Linked DNA regions of Rhinolophus ferrumequinum. Each later gene encodes a partner of the first gene's protein in a complex. Links are inferred from orthologs where the notes say so. Each region holds a gene or a part of one and is shown in the gene's direction. Other genes may lie near its edges.

Region 1 (7,521 bases):
TTTTCGTCGCTTTTGTGTGGACCATCATCTTAACTGCCATCATTTTTGTTGCCACTCCTGTGTCGTAAGTCTTCAAGTAACACTTGATTTAATGGTAGATTTAAAGGGAATAATATTTTGATCCCCAGACAAGATGAGTGCAAAACAAAAGAGCTATTCCGTCGAGTACAAGAAAGGAATCGTGGGGGACTCCCGGGGCCAGAATCTTAAGGCTTTCTGCAAAGAGAAGAAGTTGGATCTCCGAATGGTTCAAAAATGGCGAGCAGAGTACAATAGCCTCAGTCAACAGGTGTACGAGGGAAACGCTAAGAAGCACAAGTGTGGATCAGGTCAGTAATCATTATTTCCTGAGCTGGAAGACATCATCTGTGAATGGACTGCTGACAGGAGAGCAAAGGCTTTGGTTGTGCACAGGGCTGATATTCAAGCATTTGACCTTGTAGTGGCACCACAGTTAGAAATACCCCAGAAGAATTCAAAGCCTCGCAACACTGGCTGGATGTCTTCCTTCAGCGATATGAACTGTCTCTAAGATCGACAACACTGTTAAAGCTGGAAGATACTGAAGTTATTAAACGTGCACTTGCATTCCAGTCCTTTGTCGATGGCAACAACTTTTATAAATACCAGCTCTCCAACATGATTGTTATGAATGAAACTGCAGTGTTTATGGGCCAAGGATCTCAAATGACAATTGATCAGAGGGGTGCCTCGTCAATCTACATTCCCTCCACTGGTTACAAAAGTGCATGTGTTACCTGTATTTTGGCAATTCTTCTGGGTGGAAAGAAAGCCCCACCTCTAATCGTCACTAAGGGCAAGAAAAATAAGTTTGAACATGTTTCAGGCATTTATGTTCTTGAAACCGAAAAAACCTGGTGCACACAAGCAGTTATAAGGAAGTGGGTCAATTTAATGCTGCCACTGGTTTTGCCAGGTGGCCAAAGAGGTCTGCTAGTCTGGGATTCAGCCAGCACTCACTGCGCTAAAGACATGAAGAACTTCCTTGCAGAGAGAATAGATCAAATAATTATTCCCGCAGGAATGACTGCCTGTCTCCAGACTCTTGATATGGCAATAAACAAGCCATTCAAGGACCATTTGTGTATGGAAATCAATGACTACATTGAAAATAGAATGGAGGGAAATCTGTGGAAACTTTGTGAAGCCTAGCCTGTAAGAGGTCGTGACTTGGGTGAAGAATTCATGGGATAAAATCACTGACAGCTGTGTTACTATTGCACTATGAGCAGGCTACATGGACAAGAAGTGCTCATTTAAGGAGCGCTCTATTGCTGGACATGAGAGATTGGGGCCAATGGTTCTACAGGAAATGGAGTCGCAAGAAATTCAAGCTGCAATTCGGGGTTTGGAGAGTTATGACGATGTTCCAGAAGAAGATGATGACATGACTATATTTGAATAAATGTGGATTTTTGTACATTAATAAATGTAGATTGTTGTACATGAAAAAATAAGACATCCCCTGAAAATAATCCCTAATCTGTTTTTTGGAGCAAAAATTAATATAAGACCGGTCTTATTTTCAGGGAAATACGGTAGATCAAATCCCTGGCATCAGGTAAGCAATAAGTCTTACTCTTCTAGACCTTCCCTGGGTGACTTAACTTGAAGGCTTCATTTCTACTTCAAAAGCTCCATCTCCTGATTTTCTTCTGAGCTCTAGACCTAATAGCTTCAGTGTTCAACAGAACTTTCCACTTGGAAGACATACAGACTTTGCTCAAATTCTGTGCTTTTGTTTATGTATTTGCTACCTCTGCTTAAAGGCCAGTTGTTGAAAAAGAAAAACAAGACACTTACTAGGTTTGTGTGCTTTGGGTGGCAAAGAACAGGGACTCATTAGGCATCCTCAAGTTAGGAAAGCTGCAAGGAGGCCCCGCCTGGGGCCAGTGCAGGTGGGAGTTTCAGCCTTTGATTGTCCCAGCTTGTTGGCTGGGTTAGCTCATCCTGCAGGATCCTTTTGGGCAGCCTTCCCCTGGGAGAGGGTCTCACTCCTGACTACAAAGCTGCTCGTAGGGGATAAGTCAGGTGACTGCATGTGATTCCCAAGGTCTTAGGGTGGCCACCCTTGGAGTACCTGGAGCTCAGCCATTTTATTGTGGGGCCTTCAGAGGCACTAGCCTCTCTTGTATGGAAGCTCATCCCTGCAGTTTTGTGTTTGTGTGCTCCTCCCCTCACCCAGCTCAAACCCCCTGACTTTATGATGCCTCTCCACCTCATTAGTCATTTCCTCCTCTGCTCCTTGTGTTTAAACACAACATATTGTAGTTATCGATATCCAGAGCTGGTTCCCAGACTAGGCTGTCAGCCAGGCAAGAAGTATACATTGTTCACATTTGTTTCACCACCGCCACTGTTTGCTGAGTACAGAACACATGTGTGTCTTTAGCACTGCTGGGGCCTGGGGTGGCATTTTATTAAAAAAAAATTTTAAGTAAATTAGTGTTTTTTAAAATAATATTTTTATAATTTAAAAATAACATGTACATTGAAAAATATTTTAAAAATTCTGAATGTGTAAAGTTAAATGTTAAAAATTCCCCTCAGTTCTCTTCTAATCCAATACCCATAGGCAAACACCAGTAAAACATTTTTTAACAGCTTTGTGGATATTCAATATTCGATTCAGATACCATGCAATTTGCCCACTTAAAGTCTACAAGTCAGTGTTTTTTTTAAGTATATTTATAGGGGTATGCAACTATTACTACAACCTAATTTTAGGACATCACTGTTTCCCCCAAAGAAACTCTGTATCTATTAACTGTCACTTAGCATTGCCTCCCCTCTCCCAGCCCTAAGCCATCAGTGATCAGTGATTAACTTTCTGTCTTTATAAATTTGCCTATTGTTGGACATTTCATATAAATGGGATCATAAAACATCTGGTCTTTTCTGTCTGGCTTCTTCCACTTAGTATGTTTTTGAGGGTCATCCATGTAGTAGCATGTATCAGTAACTCCATTCCTTTTATTGCTAAATATAGCATTGCATTGAATTAATATAGCACATTTTATTTATCCAATCATCAGTCACTATTAACAATTAAATACAATTCCTGTATTTGTTCAGATTCCCTGGGTTTGAATCCCTGCTGGGCAAGTTCTTAGATGAGTGATCTTGGGTGAATTGCAATCTCTCTAAGCCTGCCTCTATTTCCTCAATAATAAAATTTGAATAATGATGGGATTGACCTCATATAGTGTTATGGTTGTATTGTCACAGTAATTAATATTTGTTGAGCCCTTACTACATGCCAGGTACATTATAAGGATTACCTAACGGATCTATGATTTTCAGATTAGGGAATTGAGGTTAGGAGACGGTATGTCATCTCTCAAGGTCAAACAGTCCCTAAGAAAATGATGGAGGTAAACAGAATCACAGGCTCTCTGACTATAAAGCCTGCACAATTAACTGTTAATATCATGGAATAGCAAAGTGCTTAGCAAGGGCCTTACGAAGAGAATGAGTTTAGTAAATGATAACTAATAGAACTATAAAAAAGAAAAAAATAGCAATTGACTCATCATCTAAGGACACGTTCCACTGTTAATATTTTGGCACATTTCCATCCGGTCTTTAGGAAATATTTCAGATATATTAAAAAAAATCCAGAAAATAATAGACATCAACCTCCAACCCGTTTTGTATTCGTGCTGCCGAAGCGAGCACAACCTCCAACCCGTTTTTTTCCCTAAAAGGCTTGAAATGTGGTAGATTAGGTTGCTTTACCTCCCAAACCCTTATTTTTTCCTACGTATGCATTATTTTTCCTTAGGTTAGGGTCACACCACATCATTTTCTATCTTTAAAAAAACCCTATCTTGAGCATTTCCCCAGGGTACCAAATATGCTACATAACCTGTCATGGCCGCATGTTATACTATATGACTGAAACATGATTTATTAATTCCCCAGTGTTGGGCATTTAGACCATCTCCGAGTCAAAACATCACTACACGTTCATCTTTCTTAAAGCACCTGGTAATTGCCTTTGGTAAGTTCCTAGAAAGGCCGGAAGATCAGACTGTGCTTGACGGTAAGGCTCTTTATGCGTACTTTTCTTTTTTTGCCAAGTCGTTCTCAAGGAAGAATGGAAAGAGGGAGAAGGAAGGATGGGATTTTTTTCCCTTTTAAAATGTCTTATCCAATTAAAACATATATACACAAAAGTGGACATAAGTGTACAGCTCACTGAATTTTCAAAAACTGAACACACCGCGTACCCAGCACTCAGATCATGAAAAGATTATTTCCAGCAGCCCAAAGCCGCCTCACCCCCTCACCGTAACGTGTCCGAGGGGTACGATTTTAACGTCGCAAAGGTTTACTAATGCGGTGACGTCTTTGAAATCTTAACATGAGCTAAGTTCTGTGTGCAAACGCTTCACAGGCTGACGTCAGGCTGGGCGAATGGCACCTACACCTGAAAGAGAGCGCAGCCGCCCGTAAGGCTGCACCGCCCGGTCCGCCGGGCTCCCGGCGTGCAGCGCGGCGCTCCCGGCGTGCCCCGCGGCGCGCGGAGCGGGCGACCTGGCGTTCGACGCCGGCGGCCGTGAGGTTTGAGGTCGTGTGTGTGCTGGCGGCCGGAGGCGACGAGGCGGGGTCGGCATGGAAGTGTAAGCTGCCCGGGGCGCGTTTCCGGCTGTGGGCCGAGGCTCCTGGCGAGGGACGGCTGCATGCTGGGGGCCGAGAGGCGGGGACACCGGGCGACCCCCAGCCCGGGCTTGTGGGAAGAGTGACGCGGCGGAGGCGGGGAAGAAAGAGCCTCGCTTTGCCCTTCTGAACCTCCGCCCGCACTCCCACCCGGTGCCTAGGACTGGGGCCAAGTGCCTTTCACGGTGGCTGCCTCCTCCGTTATTCATTTACTAGCGTCTTCTAAGTCACAGTAGGGAGTCCGGCCGGGTGTCCGAGCGGGAACTCAGAAGGTAGAAAGCCTGGAGTCCGCCCTGGAAGTACCTACGGGACAGACGGATAAACTGTCCGAGGCAGTGGGCTCCTGGGCGGCCCTGACTCAGAAGTGCCACCCGAGTTTGATGAGGAGCAGTTAACCCTGGGAGGGAAGAGGCGAGTTTTCTGGGAAGAAGAAAGTGCTTGAGCCTGGATTGTAACCACGGAAAGAGCCGAGGAGAGAGAGAGAGAGGGAGGGAGGGAGGGAGGAAGGAACAGCCATTCTGACAGTTTAACTCCACCTGGTCTTTTTCATGTTTGCTCATTGTACTACATGCAAATGGAGCTTTTGCAGCTACTCTGCATGTGTGTTTTCACATGGTTGACATTAATTCGTACGCATACCTATATTGTGTCATCTTTGGCACTGATTATTTAATACATTTTTCTTTACGTTCTTTTGCCTCATGTTTAATGGTTATATATACTACTATTGTTCAAACTTAAAAAAAACACACAATACGTATATGTACCTTAAGTGAAAACTTAATGAAACAACACCTACCGTATGCAGTACACTTTGATATTGTCAAAACTACTGAAAAAGAGTCAGGAAGCTCTGGCTAGAAATAAATGAATAAAAATATTTAAATAAAAAGATTTATTCAAGGGTCTTAAGAGTTTGCTAAGTGGAAGCACAGCTAGGCAAAACTCTCAAGAAGTGTTCCGAAGAAGAAAGAAAAGTTGAGTTCTTGTAGTAAAAGTTATATCCTTGAGAATAAACAGTCCTGCATTTTAGGGCCTCTGATTGGTTGAGGACAGTTATCAGTCAGATGTCAGGTGGTCTGGATGATGAATGCCCATGGTCTGGAGGATGAGTGCCAGGAGGTCTGTTCTGAGTCCTTAGGAGTAGTCAGAGGGTTATCTGCAGGTTTGATGTATGTCTGGGCATTGACACTCAACAGACTGGTATATATCTAGGTATTGATGCAGGACTAGAAAGTTCCAAAGTTTCAGGTCCGGGGCTAGTTAAGAAAAGACAAAGAATCGTTTCCTCATACTTCAACCTTCATAATGTTAATAATTTAGCAGCTTGGTTAAAGTGACTCCATTTTATATTTTCCCCATCTTCATTCTTTCCTCAGTTTCTACTCATTTATTAAAAATGAATGTTGACCCTCTAAATTGATTTCGCTATTCACTAACGGGGTTTAATCTGCAACTGGAAAAATGTTCGTATTACTCTACCTCAAACCATCATTATCAATTTCCCCGTTTACTAGAGCATTTCCTGTCAGCATACAAACCTGCTTTAATTTATCTATATTAAAAACTTCCTTGTTTCCACATTCATGTCCACTTACTGCTCCATTTCTGCTTCCCATCATTCCTGTCACAACAAAACTTAGAAGTGTTGTGTATCCCCTCATTCACTCAATCATTCTGTTCGGCTTTAATCCTCACCAGTCTACAGAAATGGGTCTGTGAAGATCACCTGAGCCCTCCGTGTTGTCACTTCCAAAGGCTGATTTTCTGGCCTTAACTCTCTTGATCTCTTAGCAACAGTTGGTACAGAAACTAGAAACTCTCTTGGCTTTCTGACATGCTTACCTGGATTTCCTCCTGAAGACTTTCTCAGTCTCCTTTCCTGGCTCCCCCTTCCTCCCTTTCTTGGCTTCTAAATGTTGAGGTATCTTACGACTCATACTGGGACCCTTTTTCTCCACACTGTCTCCCCTGGTCATTGTACCCATCTATATGCTGATGATTCCCAAAAGTACATTTCTAGCCCTTTCCCCTCATCATTCATCCAGTTGCTTAGACCAAAAATCTAGCTTTTTTTTTTAAGGAGGTCGCAGTTCACAGTGGCCCATGTGGGGATCGAACCAGCAATCTTGGTATTATTAGCACCATGCTCTAACCAACTGAGCTCACTGGCCACCCCAAGAATCTAGCCTTTTTTCCTCACCCCTAAATCCAGTCCATCAGCCAGTTCTGTCATCTCCACTTTCAGAGTATATTTTAATGTAGTTGCTTCTAACCATGTGCAATACTAATTTTCTACTCCAACTCTGATCTGGATTAAGCAGTAGCCTTTTTTTAAATTAGTTTCAGGTGTACAAAACAATGTAATAGTTAGACATTTATCATTTATATCCCTCACAAAGTGACAACCCCCCTCCCCCCATCCACTACCCCTCTGACATCGCACAGAGCCATTACATTTCCACTGTCTCCATTCCTAATGCTGTACTCCACTTCTTGTATGTATATACATACATATAAATATATATATATATATACATATATATATATATATATATATATAAACTTGTAGTTGACATTCATTATTGTTCAGCTTCAGCTTCAGGTATACAGTGCAGTGATCAGGCATCTACATCATCCCTGAGGTGGTCTCCCTAATGAGACAAGTGTCCATCGGCTTCTCTATAAAATCTTTACATTATTGATTACATTCCCTAAACTTACTTTCCTATCCCCGTGGCCCTCTTGTGGTTACCACCTGCTTTCTAATCCCCCTCACCTTCCCCCTTATCCCTCCCCCATGTAGCAACCCTCAGGTTTTCCTCTATGTCTCTGAGA
Region 2 (7,241 bases), on another chromosome or scaffold:
CTGTTCACATTTGGGCTGCTGCCCTGGATCGACAACTTCGCCCACATCTCGGGCTTCGTCAGCGGCCTCTTCCTGTCCTTCGCCTTCTTGCCCTACGTCAGCTTCGGCAGGTTCGACCTGTACCGCAAGCGCTGCCAGATCCTCATCTTCCAGGCCGTGTTCCTGGGCCTGCTGGCCGGCCTGGTGGTCCTCTTCTACTTCTACCCCGTGCGCTGTGAGTGGTGTGAGTTCCTCACCTGCATCCCCTTCACCGACAAGTTCTGCGAGAAGTACGAGCTGGACGCCCAGCTCCACTGAGCTGCTGGCCACTGGGGCCACCTGCTCCCGGGCGCCGTCCACCCCGAGCCTTGCAGGCCACGGACGGGGCTGCCTGAGCCCCGTGTGGGGTTCTCAGGCCACGGACGGGGCTGCCTGAGCCCCGTGTGGGGTCCGTAGGCCACGGACAGGGCTGCCTGAGCCCTGTGTGGGGTCCGCCCGCGTCTTGGACACAGACCTCTTGTGCCTTGTTCACTGCTGTTGACCCTCTCGTACTTCTGGGCATTTATTACACTAGTTCCCGTGATTCCCTTCTAACTAGTCTCTTGACGACCACCTCAGGTGGCCAATAAATGGACTGGGAGCGTTTTAGCTGCCACTAACTTGACCAGAGCTGCCTTCTGCTTTCTCGTTCCTGGCTGGGGGCTGTGGCGGGACGTTCCTCTCACTCACAATTCCCCAGACAAGGAACGAAGTATACAAAACACCTCCCAGGGAAGTCCCTCAGCCAGGTTGCACCCCCTGCCCCCAGCTCCCTTCCTAGTTACCGGTAGCCACAATGGGATACAGACCCAGGGATGTGCTGTCATTTCTCCCCCCCACACACACTGAGAAGCGCCCTCCCTGCTCAGCCAGCAGTTCCAGCTGCTGCCCCAGGCCCCTCCATTTCCGGGAGCCAGGGGATGGCACCGCTGTACAGTCCTGCGGGCCAAGGCGGGAGGCCCTGCCGACGGCTGTGCTCTCACACACAGGCCCGTTTGTTTCTGCACAAGTAGAAGAGAAAGCCAGCTGCGTGTGGGGGACACACATTTATTTCCTCCTGGCCGTGGGGGACACAGTAATGGTCAGGTGGCCTCCGCAGCCCTCAGGACGCACCGGCCCCATTCTCTGCCCTTGCCTCCTGGGATGCCGCAGTGCCCGTCCCTCCTGCCGGGACCGTGGCTTGTGGACTTTTCCAGGTCAGAAGCAGAGAGGTTTATGCTGTACTCAGGGCCTGGCCCACAGCCCTGTGGCATCTGCCACGAGATGAGGGTGTTTGGGCTCAGGGAGGGGTCAAGCTCAGGTCACGAGCACTGGCTCGTCAGGTCCTAGTCCTGAGGGCCCAGGCTTCAGACAAGTCCACCTGTGCTCACTTTGACATTCTCCTGTGACAAGGGGACAGTGGCCCGAAGCTGCTTCCTGCTGGGCAGAGCTTGTCACCGGCACAGTTGTCCTCGTCCAGGGGTTCATTTTTGCCTCAGCTTTTTGATGAAAGACACCTCGTCCCGATTCCGGATACCATAACTGAAAGAGAAGGAAAGGTGTCAAGTGTCTGATCTCCAGAAGGGTACATCCAGGACTCCTCACCTGAGGCTGGTGAAAAACCAAGAAAGAACAGGTGGGAAGAGTGTGGCATCCAGGAGGGGGCAGTGGCCACACGTACCAGGGGGCAGCCTTTCACCTCCATGCACTCTTTCTCCCCTCTTCTGCCTCTGTGCTGCCCTGAACTGCCACTGGTGAGAAGCAGTAGGGCCCCTCACCCCTCTCCTCCACCCGCATTCTCCTCGTGGGGGCCCCCAGCGGGAGGCGTCAGCACAGCCAGGGTCCTCTGTAGGTCTCACAGAGTCCTCAGGAACTGACTGAGGATCCCTCCTTCCTGGGAGGGGGCCCCAGCCGTCTGGCAGAGCATGTGTAACCAGACGGCACCGCCCAAATGCCTGCCTGTAGCTCAACATGTGGCCTGGACTTACTCTCGGAGCTTCTTCCTGTCCTCTGTGAGCTTCTCTCCTGCAGAGGTCAGATGGTACGTTCTCCACACGTAGGGCCTGCAAGGTAGGGTTTCAGGTAAACCGTGAGCAGGGTGAGTGGAGCAGCTGGGATGCAGACGCTGTGACTGAGAGCGGCTCACGGTGCTCAGCTCTGTGGGCCCGGGGCAGCCGGCCGCCTCTTCTGGGCTGTTTCCTGTACACTGTGCACTGTGCCTGAGGCGGCTACAAGGAGGCCCGGCTCTATGAGGGCCGTGTGGGCCATGCAAGGGAGGAGAAGAACATCCAGGAGAAGTCCTGGATGTACCGTCTGTAACTAGGAGACCACTTCTGGACACATCACACATGCCCTAAGGTGTCCCTAAGTACAGATACCAGCTGCCTAGGTGGGGTGATGCAGATGAAAGAGCAGGTGATGCAGGACTCCCAGGCACAGAAGCACCTGCCCTGTCTGAAAGCTCCGGGCAGGGAGCGCATCACTTTAGTCAGTACTTTGTAACAGGGCTCAGTGACTAAAAAGCACACGGAGTCCTGTGGAGTCCCAGTCCAGCTCCCAGGAGGGGATGCAAAGAGCCTTGGCGCCACTTACCAGCTGATGTGTTGAATGCCGCCTTCCCGCTCCTGCCTGAGCTGCACGTATCTCTGGATGGCTTTCTTCAGGTCCAGGACTGTGGCATTCTGTACCACGACCACAGCTGCAACCAGGGACACAAAAGGGAGAAGATCCATGGTGGGAAGCCCCAGCCACAGCCTCAGGTGGGGGGAGAGGAACCCAGAAGCCCTGTCAAGCCTTGTTTCTGACCGAGGCTCAAATCTGGGTGGGTGGGCTTGTGGTTGCCCCAACACCCATGGGCATGGCCCCTGAGTGTCCCACTGACCAGCCCCTGTGAAAGCTCAGATTGCACGGCCTGAAGGGAGGAGGGCAGCACTTACGCATGACTTCTCCATCCATCTTGCACACTCGGACTGTCATTGCTTGGCCATACTCTAGGGCTATTTGGGAATTGACCTCTTCCAAAGTAACCTAGAAAAGACCAAGGGGGGAGGTGGGAGCCCTGGCTTTACCACCCCAAAACGACAACAAAGAAAAACAAGGTGGTACTGTCCAAAGAGTGGTGCAACGTTATATGAAAGATGAGAAAGGGAAAGGGTTCTTACTTATATATCAGGGTTTCCCAGTCCAGCACCTCAATCTCATGTGCCACCCACATTTCCCATTTAAAGTCCAAAGCGGACAGAGGCTCTGGAGAAAGGAGCACAGGAACAGGCAAGAAGGATGGATCCTTTCATCCAGGGGCTGGGTAGGAAGAAGAACCCTGGGCCTGCCCGTGCGTTCTGGGAGCCTCTGATCACCAGGATCCAAGCCCGGGCCTCTGGAGAAGGTTGAGGCACGTGTGCGATGATACACGTTGCCAATACAACTTTTAAGAAAATACAAGTTAACTTGAAAACTCCATGATGGACCAAAGAATACTGAAGCTTGAGAAGGGAAAAAACCGGCACTAACGATCTCGTCCTTCTTTTGTTGGCGATAGGTTTTACACCAACTTTGTGTTATGAACGTATTAAAATATTATTTTATTTATTTATTTATTTATTTATTGATTGATTTATTTATTTTGGCGCTTCTTTAATTTCCGCGCCCCACGGGAGAGCCCCGCTCGCCCCGCCCCAGGCTCGGCCCTGGTTAAGACCCTCATTTACGCCCAGAGGTGCCTTCCTGAGGCCTTTGGGCCACAGCCCCCATCAGCACCGCGCGGGATCCACACCCGACGAACGTCCCGGCGGGGCACGACGCCTGCACCCTGCCCGCGCGCACCTGGATCGGGAGATCGCAGAGCAGTGGGTCCTGCACCACCATGGCGAGACCCTCCTGGAACACGTCCACCGCCTCGGAGTGCGGCAGCGCCTCCTCTTCGTCCTCATCGTCGTCCTGCGCCTCGGGCTGTGCCGCCGCCTCCGCCGCCTCCAGGGCGCCTCGCTGCCGAGCGCGCTCCGCCCGCACCGTCCGTCTGCAAGACCGAGGCGCGGCGCTTTCGCCCGCGGAGCAAAACCCGCAGTCAGTTCCGACATTAGGGCGTCGATTGGCTGCCGCGAGGACCAATGAGAAGTGCGAGATGGCCTGCCGCGGTGCTCGCTGGGAGCGCGACATCGGCGTGTCTATTGGTGGGCTAAGGTGGCCAGGACCAATAGGAGCTCGAGGCGGGCGGGCATAGTGTCGGCTCCTGGGCGGCCGCGGGGGCTGCCGGGAGCCTGCGGGGCTGAGTCCGCCGTCATGCTGCTTTTCTGCCCCGGCTGCGGGAACGGGCTGATCGTGGAGGAGGGACAGCGCTGCCACCGTTTCGCCTGCAACACCTGCCCCTACGTGCACAACATCACCCGCAAGGTGGGTCCTGGAGCCCGGCGTCGGGCCCCCGCAGGCCTCCCGCTTCCTCCGGCTGTGCTCCACCCCTGTCAGGACGCAAGGTGGAGGCCCTGGCCGTGGTCACCGCCGAGGCCACAGCGGTCCTTGTAACGCCGAAGTCAGATCGAGTCCGTCTTGCGCTCGGTAACGCTCAGCAGTTCGCCAGCGTGAAATGTGCTCGCGGGGCAGACCGAGCGTTGACACCACGCCCCTCCCCCCAGCCTTGCTTTTCTGATGTCAGAAAAGGGGCTCTTTTGCCCCAGAAACACCAGCCTCTTGGAGGATCCCCCCTGATGGACGTGGCATTACTAGCAGCGCCTTTGCCCACGTTTCCTGTCCGGTCCAGACTTCCCCTAAGACAGCCGTGCCACTCTTTTGTCACGTCGTCACTTAAATCATCACTCAGTGTAAAATTGCAGCCCTTCCGTTTTATCCTCTTTCCCGGTTTTGGTTTTTCTCTAGGACTCCTTACCTTCTAATAACACGGTATAATTTACTTACGTGCTTTGTTTACCGAAGCCGAGACCTAAGCTGTAGGAGGGCAGGGCTCTTTCTGTTTTGTTCCCTCTTGTGTGCTAGTCGGAACGCCGAGGATGGAACTGAGGATGTGGAGGTGTTCACTGCGGTGAATTGTGCTCACGGTGTTAGGACTCGGTATTTTCCCCTTGATCTTTTGTGGGGACAGAGCCCCAAAAAGCAGTTTCCAGGCTCTCGGCCTCACATAGCAAGGTGCTGGCTCAGGTAGTAAATGGCCATCGACTGATCAAATGGCCATCAGCTGTGGCTAGTTGGCCGTCAGCTGTAACCAGTGAGCCATTGGGCACTAATATAACTGCCGTGGCTAGGCTAACAGAAATGGGGGCTAGCGAGAAGATGGTGGCTGAGCCAGCAAGTGGAGCAGTGAGGGTTGAGACTTGTGTTGCTCCTGGTTTCCTGTGTCTCCAACCCAGCCGCCAGTGAGAATATAGTGGTGTGACTCCCCTACCTATGGCTCCGTGGGTGTTCCTTTTTGGCCTCACTATGTCCTGCGTTCTTATGTGGGGAGTGGGACCAGAGACCCCGCCTGACACCCTGCACGACATCTTTACTCTTTAGAAGTAGAGCCCCTTGGGGCCACCCCGTTCTGAGTGTTTGTGTACTGCACCATATTGCTGTGTTGTGGGAGTTTAGAGTCTGGATCTATGAGAAGAGTGAACTCTTACGTAAGCCTGACATTTCAAGGATGTCGGGTAAAACTTGGGAAAGAAACTGAGTGCTTTGAAAGCTCTCTGCCTGCGGGGAGCGGCTGGGCTCCCCAGCTGGTACTCTTTGGCTTCAGGTGTATTTGTTTCTCACATCTTGGGTTAGGCGGTGGTATCTTAGAGATATGGGCGTAGAGGAGGGTCACACCTAAGCCATCGTGTCTTCCTGCTCTGGTGTTTCATTCAATCCTTGCAGAGATCTTCTCTGACGGCTGAATCTCTCTCTTCTCTTGTGGGGGCATCCCAATCGTAGGTTCTTTAAATTCCAGTGGTGCGTCCTGCTCTGTGGTAGCGGGAACACTGTTTTCGTTTAGTCTCCCTGCTGGCTGGGAGGAAGACAGTCTGGGAAGACACTTGAGGGCAGCTGTGGAGGTGTGGTTTGGTGGCCCACGGTTGCACTGTTCACTGACTTGGAGAGTCTGAAGGCTTGCTGTTGTTTGTTAGGTAACAAATCGGAAGTATCCAAAGCTCAAAGAAGTGGATGATGTGCTTGGTGGAGCAGCTGCCTGGGAGAATGTTGACTCTACTGCAGGTAAGAGGGAAAGCCTTCTGTAACTGAGCGGTGGGTAAGTATGAAGCCACTGGCTGCTGCTCCGTGGCAGTCGGTGATGTATTTAGAAAGTGTGTTTGCGCTTTAAGAACTTACTTGTTAACTCCAATGATATTGGCACAAGCCTTGGAGTCGTGCAGTCCTGAGTTAAAGTCTCGGGGTGACTTCTTACTGTTTTATGACCTTGCTGGGGTCCCTGAAGCGCTCCAGGGCTAATCCACACTCATAGGTTGTGAGAGCACCCAAGTGAGTTATAGTGTTTCGCATATAACAGGCAATTCTACAGGCGGTAGCTACGATAGCTACAAGGTCAGGAATAATACAAATCAGAGTCGCGGGAAATAAATGTGGTGGTCTTGTTCTCATGCGGCGTGTTAAACGTTAATACCAGAGAGCACCTAACTGCAGTCTCAGTAAAATAAATGTTTCTTTCAAGTCTTGATTCGTTTCTGATAGACATAGATGTGACCAAGGAAGGGCAGAGCAGAGCCCTAGACAACCTGCGCCGAGGGGAGGAACAGCGAAGTAAGATTAGTGCCATTGCTCTGCCTCTCTGGACCGGTACCCAGATCCGCCACGTGAACAATTTAGCAAAGGCAGAAGTTGTCATTAAAAGCTAAGTTATGCCCCGAATGTCCAAAATGGTGTTTGAGAATTTTTGAAGGTGTTTCCATCAAGAGCAGGGTTAGTGTCGCAAAGTAAAAACCTTTGAAGGTAAATGTGTCCTGGGGTCCTCGGAAAAGGTACGTATGTGTGGTGAGATCTTGATAAAAGCAGCCTGAGGAGCTACTGCCAAATAGACCCCTAAATACTCGGGGAAGCCGATTGGTCAGCCCTTGGCAGCTCCTCTGGGAAGAAGAGAGGGCGTCTCCACGTCCCAGGTGATGGAGATGAATTTGTTAGGGGAAGTCTGCACGGCGTGGGCCCCGTAATTCACACAGCAGCCGTGTTACGTTTCCAACCAGTCTTCTACCAGGTTTGAGAAAAACAGTGAGAAAAAACAGTTTGAGAAAAACAGGGCGGGGAGGAGAGTGTTTCCAAGCTCT

The links. The genes of interacting proteins can lie anywhere in the genome.
Region 2: CRCP (region 1) and POLR3K share a complex: the UniProt entries of both Homo sapiens proteins name them as parts of the RNA polymerase III complex. The link is inferred for Rhinolophus ferrumequinum from reciprocal best matches to the Homo sapiens genes CRCP and POLR3K.

The regions. Positions count from the first base shown.
Region 1 is NC_046290.1:99,603,548-99,611,068, reverse strand, and holds the start of CRCP (DNA-directed RNA polymerase III subunit RPC9), read left to right. Parts: upstream 1-4,504; 5' UTR 4,505-4,638; coding exon 4,639-4,646; intron 4,647-7,521. UniProt on the Homo sapiens protein: DNA-dependent RNA polymerase catalyzes the transcription of DNA into RNA using the four ribonucleoside triphosphates as substrates.
Region 2 is NW_022680357.1:2,145,599-2,152,839, reverse strand, and holds the start of POLR3K (DNA-directed RNA polymerase III subunit RPC10), read left to right. Parts: upstream 1-4,227; 5' UTR 4,228-4,275; coding exon 4,276-4,386; intron 4,387-6,089; coding exon 6,090-6,177; intron 6,178-7,241. Other genes in the region: RHBDF1 (inactive rhomboid protein 1), read left to right, coding at 1-297; SNRNP25 (U11/U12 small nuclear ribonucleoprotein 25 kDa protein), read right to left, coding at 1,482-1,539, 1,986-2,060, 2,590-2,695, 2,934-3,024, 3,820-3,861. UniProt on the Homo sapiens protein: Core component of RNA polymerase III (Pol III) which synthesizes small non-coding RNAs using the four ribonucleoside triphosphates as substrates. Can mediate Pol I proofreading of the nascent RNA transcript.